Linked DNA regions of Macaca fascicularis. The main gene of each other region encodes a partner of the protein of the gene in region 2 in a complex. Links are inferred from orthologs where the notes say so. Each region holds a gene or a part of one and is shown on either strand. Other genes may lie near its edges. The genes, in order: FZD8 and LRP5.

The links.
Region 1: LRP5 (region 2) and FZD8 share a complex: the UniProt entries of both Homo sapiens proteins name them as parts of the wnt-signaling complex. The link is inferred for Macaca fascicularis from reciprocal best matches to the Homo sapiens genes LRP5 and FZD8.

Annotation. Positions count from the first base shown.
Region 1 is NC_088383.1:36,412,348-36,416,702, forward strand, and holds the start of FZD8 (frizzled-8), read right to left. Parts: upstream 2,971-4,355; 5' UTR 2,115-2,970; coding exon 33-2,114; 3' UTR 1-32. UniProt on the Homo sapiens protein: Receptor for Wnt proteins. Component of the Wnt-Fzd-LRP5-LRP6 complex that triggers beta-catenin signaling through inducing aggregation of receptor-ligand complexes into ribosome-sized signalosomes.
Region 2 is NC_088388.1:6,280,975-6,284,773, forward strand, and holds part of LRP5 (low-density lipoprotein receptor-related protein 5), read right to left. Parts: intron 3,188-3,799; coding exon 2,791-3,187; intron 1-2,790. UniProt on the Homo sapiens protein: Acts as a coreceptor with members of the frizzled family of seven-transmembrane spanning receptors to transduce signal by Wnt proteins.

The DNA.
Region 1 (4,355 bases), on a different chromosome or scaffold from region 2:
CCCACCCCTCCTGGGCGCCGCCTCCCCTCCGCTCAGACCTGGGACAATGGCATCTGCTTTGGATAAGACACGGAGCTGGCCGTGCCCGACCGCCACGTCAGGCCGGTGCTGACGTCGCTGTAGAGAGAGCCCGCGCCACCGCCTGGTCCCCCGCCGCCGGGCCCCCCGCCGCCACCGCCCCCCGGCCCGCCGCCGCCCCCAGCGGCCGTGGCGCCCGCGCCCCCGCCCACTGCGGCGCCCTTACTGGCCCAGCAGCAGCGGGTGCACAGGGAGCGCCAGGACTCCAGCGTCTTGCCGGACCAGACCCACACGCCCGAGGTGATGCCCACCACTAGGCACATGAAGTACTTGAGCATGAAGACGGCGTAGTCGGGCCTGCGCGCCTGGTCAGGCTGTAGGTCCCGCAGGCACGGGCAGTTGTGCGTGGCCTCCCAGCGCGGGCGGTTGTGCTGCTCGTAGAAAAGGCAGGCGACCACCACTGCCGCGGGCACGGTGTAGAGCACGGTGAACAGGCCCAGGCGGATCATCAGCTTCTCCAGCTTGTGCGTCTTGGTGGGGCCGTCCTGCTGCTTGATGACTGAGCGGATGCGGAAGAGCGACACGAAGCCGGCCAGCAGGAACATGGTGCCAATGAAGAGGTAGATGACCAGCGGCGCCAGCACGAAGCCGCGCAGATTGTCCAGGCTCTGGTTGCCCACGTAGCAGATGCCCGCCACTGGGTCGCCGTCCACCGAGCTGAGCGCCAGCACCGCTATGGACTTAACGCTGGGCACGAGCCATGCGGCCAGGTGAAAGTACTGCGAGTAGCCGGCGATGGCTTCGTTGCCCCACTTCATGCCGGCCGCCAGAAACCACGTGAGCGACAAGATCACCCACCAGATGGAACTGGCCATGCCGAAGAAGTAGACTAGCAAGAAGACCACGGTGCACAGCGCGGGGCCGGTGGTCTCATAGCGCACGTGCTGCTCCACCGCGCCCAGCTCCTCGTACTCGCCGCGCCCGCCCGGGCCGCCCGCGCCCGCGCCCGCCGCGCCCGCGCCCGCCGCCGCGCCGCCCGCGCCCCCCGCGCCCCCCGCGCCCGGCGCGCCGCCGCTGCACGCCACCTTCTCGTGGCCCGCCACCAGGCGCACTAGGTAGCCCACTGACACGAAGAGGTAGCAGGCCGAGAGAAAGATGATGGGCCGCTCTGGGTACTTGAAGCGCTCCATGTCAATGAGGAAGGTGGAGACGGTGGCGAAGGTGGACACGAAGCAGAGCACCGACCACAGGCCGATCCAGAAGACCGTGAAGGCGCGCTCGTCCTGGCTGAAGAAGGGGTTGTGGCAGGGCAGCGCGCAGTTGGCGATCTGGCCTGTCTTGACGCGGTTGTAGAGCGGGTGGCGCTCGCTGGACACGCTCACCATGGGCGCGCGGCATTGGCACCCGGGCTCGCAGGGAGCCGCGCCGCCGCCAGGGGGCCGCGCCTTCCCGCCACCGCCGCCACCGCGAGCTGGGGGCGCCGCCGCGTCCCCGCCGCCACCGCCCCTGCCGCCGCCGCGGTGCGGGGGCCTGGCCCCCGGCGGGCGGCCGTGGCCGCTGCCCGAGGGCGGCTGCTCGCCGGGCGGCGGCGGCGGCAGGCGGCGCGGGGGGCTGGGCGCGGCGGTGGTGAGGTCGGTGCGGTTGTAGTCCATGCACAGCGTGTCAGGGTTGCCCTGTTCGGGCAGCCGGTCGCAGCGCATGCGGTCGGGCCAGGCGAAGCCGTACTGACGCATGAGCGGCGCGCAGCCGGCCTTGGCGCGCTCGCACACCGAGCGGCAGGGCGGCAGCGGCTTCTTGTAGTCCTCCAGGCAGATGGGCGTGTACATGCTGCACAGGAAGAACTTGAGGTCGGGCGAGCACTGGATCTCCACCAGCGGCCAGAACTGGTGCACCTCCAGGCCCGCCTCGTCCTGCGTGTCGTGGTTGAACTGGTTGGGCATGTAGGTGTAGTTGTAGCCGATGCCCTTACACAGCGGCACGGTGATCTCTTGGCACGCCAGCTCCTTGGCCGAGGCGGCCGCCGCGCCGCTAGAGCGCTGCAGCAGCGCTAAGGCGGCCAGCAGCGAGGTCACTTCCAACAGGTAACCCCACTCCATGCTGTGCGCCTCGGCCCGGTGCCCTCGCCCTCCAGGCGGCGCTCAGAAGGGTGCCGGGGGGGAGGGGGCACGAGAGAGCCGGAGACGGGGAAAGCCGGTGATCTGGGATCTCCCTTATGCCTCGCCCGGGAGAGGAGTCTGCTGATAATCTAGCCCCTCGTAGGGGCGCGTCGCAGCCTCGGCAGGGCCCTTCCGCACTCCTTTCCGCCGCTCCTGGGATTTGAAGGCGGTCGCAGGCGCGCGCCACAGTCCGAAGGTCCTCTCTGCTCGCCCCAGGTCTCGCTCAGCCCTCGCGGCGCAGAGCGTCCGGGCTTCGGCTCATCGTCCCGCGCTCGCTCGCCTCCTCTCCGCGCGCCCGACCACTTCTCCCCGCCGCGCTGGGCGGCGGTGACTCCGCCGGGCACAGAGGGCGGCGGCGCTGCAAGTTTCCTCTCGGGCCGCGGTGCGCAGTCAAGATGGCTGGGCCCGGCCGTTCGCCGCGCCGGGTCAGCCCTGGAGGCCACCGCTTAGCCCCCGGGGGCTCATGCCCGCCCCCAAGGCCGCGCCACCGCCGCCGCCGGAGTTGGGGACCCGCCTCGGCCCAGGCCGCCGCCCTCTTTCTCCGGCGTCCGTCCTTCGTCCGTCAGCCCCCTGGACAGACGGACCCCCGCCACCAGGAAAAGTCAGCGCCGCGCTCCGTCCGCAGTCGGGCGAGGCGCACGCAGTCTCCTTCCTGCTGGACACCCAGGAGCAAATCCAGACCGGAAGACGGAGCGGACACCTGAGTGGCGCGGCCCGCGCCCAGCCGCCGCCGCCGCCTCCTCCTCCTCGGCGGGAGCAGCGCCCTTCGCCCAACTTCCCGGCTCCAGCCCCGCTCGAGCCGCGCGGCCGGCTCATGAATATTTATACAGCGCGGACTCGGTCTCCGCCCCCAGCCCCGCGAGCCAATCGCCGGGCGGCGGGGCGGAGTCCACGTGCTCCCAGGGCTCAGCCTTCCTTAAGGCAGTCCCCGAGTGTCCGCACCGCTGTGCGCGTTCTCTGCGGATGGAGAGTTTTGGTAACCTTGGGATTGGCCGCAGAGACAGAGTGTTGGCCACGGCTGTCCCCATGGCGCTGAGTGCGTCTGAGGTCTTGGTGCCCTTTCCCCGAGTCTGCCCTTGGGGACAGGGACGGGGTTTGGTGTAGCGCACGCCTCTTCGCCGCGTTTCAAACCAGCCAGGCCCCTGCTGCCACCCTCCGCGAATGCGGGTGATCTGCGGGCGGCGGGGGTCTCGCAGTCCTCCGGGCGGCGCGGAGGTCCCGCAGCAGGCGAGTGCAGGGGAGGCCTGCCGGGGCGGTCTGCCGGGGCGGTCTGCCGGGGCTTGGCGCTGCAGAAGACCCGGGAACGGGTGTCCTCCTTGGGGTTCTCAGAACGATGGTTTCTGAGGCTTGGAGATGTGGGGGTTGGGGGGGGAGGAGTGGAGTCATTCTAAACTGGAGCTGGACCCAGGACGGCCCAGGTGAGATGCCCCGGAGCCCAGCCTTGGGCGCGCGAGGGGCGCGGGGGACAAATGCCCGCCTGAGACTTTTCTCCCGCCTCCGCTGCGTGACCCGGGGGAGCCTCAGTTTCCCCACCTCGAGAGTTGGGTGATCATAGCACAGATCTCTAAGGGGGCTTTGATAATTAGGTGAGATAAAATATAGAAAGCCCCGGGACGCCGTGCTTTCTTAGGAAAAAACATTCTATTTCTTTTTAAAAATCAAAACAAACCCCGAAACTTATAAATAGGACAGACTGGAAACTCTGGGGCTGGATTCCCTGCCTTCGCTTGGTTCTTTCAGGACGTCTATTCATCCATCCCAAGTTCACAGGCTTTTGCCAGAGCCTCCTTTTCTCTGGTGGGAGGCGGCGCTGCGCTCTGGCGCGGACTCCGGGACACGTATCTGCGCTCTGCACAAGGCCGGAGCCGGACCCGGGCTGCTTTTAGCAGCCGCTTGGGCCACCGCCAGCGAACACGGTCCCCGCCGGCTCCGCAGCCACCTTAAGACCGACCGGGAGGGGGGCTGCGGGCGGCCCGGGCCGGCGGCCTGGCAGGTTCATTTACGCTTGTTAGGGCGTCCCAGGGGGCTGTCTTTCTCCTGGAATGGAGTGTTTATTTTTTAATTGATGTGCTGTTTCATTTAGCGCTTGTATGGAACTCATGCTGGGGCAGTAATTACTGTAATCTCGGGAACAAGCATTTCAGTTAGCCAGGAGGGTGGTAGAATATGTTTCTCTCTCTC
Region 2 (3,799 bases):
GACACTCTCGCGCACATACTCACTCACACAGGCACATACACGCGCATGCATAATCACGCGCGCGCACTCACACAGACAAGCATACAAATACCCGCTCACACACGTGTGCACACGCACGCACACAGGCTCACACGTATGCACGCACATGTGTGCGTGCGCGCACACATACACACACACACACACACACACAGGCTCACATCCTCCCACTCCCACACTCAGTTGCTCAGACACACACACCTGGCTCACACAAACCTATTGGGCTCTGAAAGGCTCCAGCCCTTCCCGTGCTTGTCAGAAGCCAGTCAATGGCTTCTTAAGTCACCGCACAGAGCAAAGAGGTGAACTTGGCCACCATGGCACTCTGCTTCCCCAGCTCCCAAACCCCAGCCTTGGTGAGGATACTCTCATTCCCACTACCCCGGGCAGGCCCAGAGGAAGGGCATCTGCAGGGTATGGCAACCAGCCCCTCCTGCCCGGCTCCTGCAGCCAGCGCCATGGGAGTCAGGGGGAGGTCACTGCGAAGGGCAACAGCAAGTTGGTGGCCTCAGGACTAGAGCCCAGGGGTCTTCGGTCCTACTCCAGAGTTTGGACACTGTCCCACAGGGCACGGAAAAGGGAAGGGCTCCCAGAGCCCTGACTTCAGGGAGGAGGGCGGGTGGGCTCCTATGGCAGGCCTGGATGCGTGGCTGCCCAGTCCTGAGACTTTCTAATCTAGAAGATCTAGGTCAGGCCGGGTGCAGTGGCTCACACCTGCAATCCCAGCACTTTGGGAGGCCGAGGCTGGTGGATCACTTGAGATTAGGAGTTTGAAACCAGCCTGGCGAAACCCTGTCTCTACTAAAAATACAAAAACTAGCCAGGTGTGGTAGTGCATGCCTGTAATAACAGCTACTCAGGAGGCTGAGGCAGGAGAATCGCTTGAACCTGGGAGGTGGAGGTTGCAGTGAGTCGAGATCGCGCCATTGCGCAAAGAAGATCTAGGCCGGTCCCTCATCCGGTGAGGTCCAGGCTGGGAGTGCTGAGAGACTGGTGACACTGCATGAACTAACAGGCAAAGGGCTTCCAACTGAGCCTGGGAATGGGGGGAAAAGGCTCCTGTGTTCTAGTCAGAGACCTCTGCCAACCAGTTCTCACACGAACTCAGCACAGAACCTGACAGGTCAGCAAGGGCCAGGGCTCAGCACAGCCCAGGTAAGGGTGTGTGTACAGCCCCCAGAGTCACTCCCAGGCTGCAAGAGGAGGGACGAAGGAGGGACAACGGGCGTCCAAGCAAACTGTTCCCTCTGCTCGGGAGTCCGGGGTGACCTGGCCTAGCTGGCCACTGGAGCTGGGCCACCTCCCCTCAAACTCTCCACCCCGGACTTCGACTCCAAGGAGGTTCTTCGCTTTCCTGCCACCCACCGTCTCCCCACCTGGGATCATGGCCAGGCCCTGAGCCTTCAAGGGCCCAGGTGAACTCAGCCAGACAAGCAGCTGAGGAGGACACAGGGCAGCTTCCAAAACAGACCCAGGTTCTGCTTCCAGATGAGGAGCTGCACTTTTTCAGCCAATGCAGTTAGAAAGCCAGGAGAAGGCGCAGATTCCACCTGCCTGAGAGTCTGCACTTCCCAGGCCACCCACCATACACACAGCAAAGATGCGTTTAACCATTCAGACCCACAGCCAACCCCATCAGACATGCAAGTTTTAAAAAGGAACGTAACTATGAACCAGGCATGGTGGCTCACGCCTGTAATCCCAGCACTTTGGGAGGCCAAGGTGGGTGGATCACCTGGGGTGAGGAGTTCGAGACCAGCCTGGCCATCCTGGTGAAACCCCATCTCTACCAAAAATACAAAAATTACCTGGGCATGGTGGTGGGCGCCTGTAATCCCAGCTACTTGGGAGGCTGAGGCAGGAGAATCACTTGAACCCGGGAGGCGGAGGTTGCAGTGAGCCGAGATTATGTCACTGCACACCAGCCTGGGCAACAAGAGCAAGACTCCATCTCAATTAAAAAAAAAAAAAAAAAAAAAGGCCGGGCGCGGTGGCTCACGCCTGCAATCCCAGCACTTTGGGAGGCTGAGGAGGGCAGATCATGAGGTCAGGAGGTCGAGACCATCCTGGCTAACACGGTGAAACCCCGTCTCTACTAAAAATACAAAAAATTAGTCGGGCATGGTGGTGGGCACCTGTAGCCCCAGCTTCTAGGGAGGCTGAGGCAGGAGAATGGCATGAACCTGGGAGACGGAGCTTGCAGTGAGCCGAGATCACACCACTGCACTCCAACAAGGGTGACAGAGCGAGATTCTGTCTCACAAAAAAAAAAAAAGAAACATAACTATGGAATCTCAAGGGGAAGTAATTCTCTCAACCATAACAAATCCTGAAAGCTGAGTTCTTTTTTTTTTTTTGAGACAGGGTCTCCTTTGTCGCCCAGGCTGGAGTGCAGCAGTGGGATCACAGTTCACTGTAGCCTCGATCTCCCAGGCTCAAATGCTCCTCCTACCTCAGCCTCCCAAGGAGTTGGGATTACAGGTGCACACCATCACACCCGATTTTTTTTTTTTTTTTAGAAATGGGGTCTCACCATGTTGCCCAGTCTGGTCTTGAACTCCTGGACTCAAGTGATCTACCCGCCTTGGCCTGCCAGAGTGCTGGGATTACAAGCATGAGCCAAAGCACCCCCCCGAACTCGTTTTAAGATTCACATCTTTTTTCTGAAAAATAACTTGGGCTCACATAAATTCGAGAGAGAAACGGTGATGCTCCCCGCCCCCTGGACCCAGGCAGAGTCGCGGCAGGGTTTACCCGTGAGCGGGATCCAAGGCGATGGCCCTCGGCTGGTCAAGGTCCTGCCAGAAGAGGACCTTCCGGGATGTGCCATTGAGGTTGGCGACCTCGATGCGGTTGGTCTCTGAGTCCGTCCAGTACAGCTTCTTGCCCACCCAGTCGCAGGCAAGGCCATCGGGCGAGACCAGGCCGGAGATGACCACATTCTGCACGGCGGCCCCCGTCTGGTTCAGGTAGGTCTGCTTGATGGCCTCCTCGCTCACATCTGTCCAGTACACGGCTCCCTTGGAGAACTGGAAGTCCACTGCGGCCGCATCCTCCAGGCCACTGACCACAATGGTGGACTCCAGCTTGACTCCGCCAGCGTCCACCAGCCGTACGTCCCGGCGGTTGGCAAATAGCAGGAGTGGCGAGGCTGTGGGGCAGAAGCAAACCGTGAGGGCCACTGGCTAAGCCAGCAGGACACACAGCCCTGGGATGCAGCACTATGCCCAGAGCACTCCTGGCACTGCCCCACTCATGCCCAAGACCTCCAGTTCCTTCCTCCCACCCCCAAGGCGCTCTCAGGAAGTTGCCTGGGCGGCCCCGGCCCACACCATTCAGAGGCTCCTGCAGCACAGCAAACAGCCTTCTTACCGCACTCAGTGACAGCAACTGGTTTTTTTTTTTTTTTTTGAGACGGAGTCTCGCTCTGTCACCCAGGCTGGAGTGCAGTGGCGTGATCTCTGCTCACGGCAAGCTCCGCCTCCCGGGTTCACGCCATTCTCCTGCCTCAGCCTCCTGCATAGCAGGGACTACAGGCACCCGCCACTGCGCCCGGCTAATTTTTTGTATTTTTAGTAGAGACGGGGTTTCACTGTGTTAGCCAGGATGGTCTCAATCTCCTGACCTCGTGATCTGCCCGCCTCGGCCTCCCAAAGTGCTGGGATTACAGGCATGAGCCACCGCGCCCAGCCTAGCAACTGTTTGTTTACCACCTGCTACGTCTGTTCCCCCAGGTACGGGTGACCCTTCCTGCCACACCCAC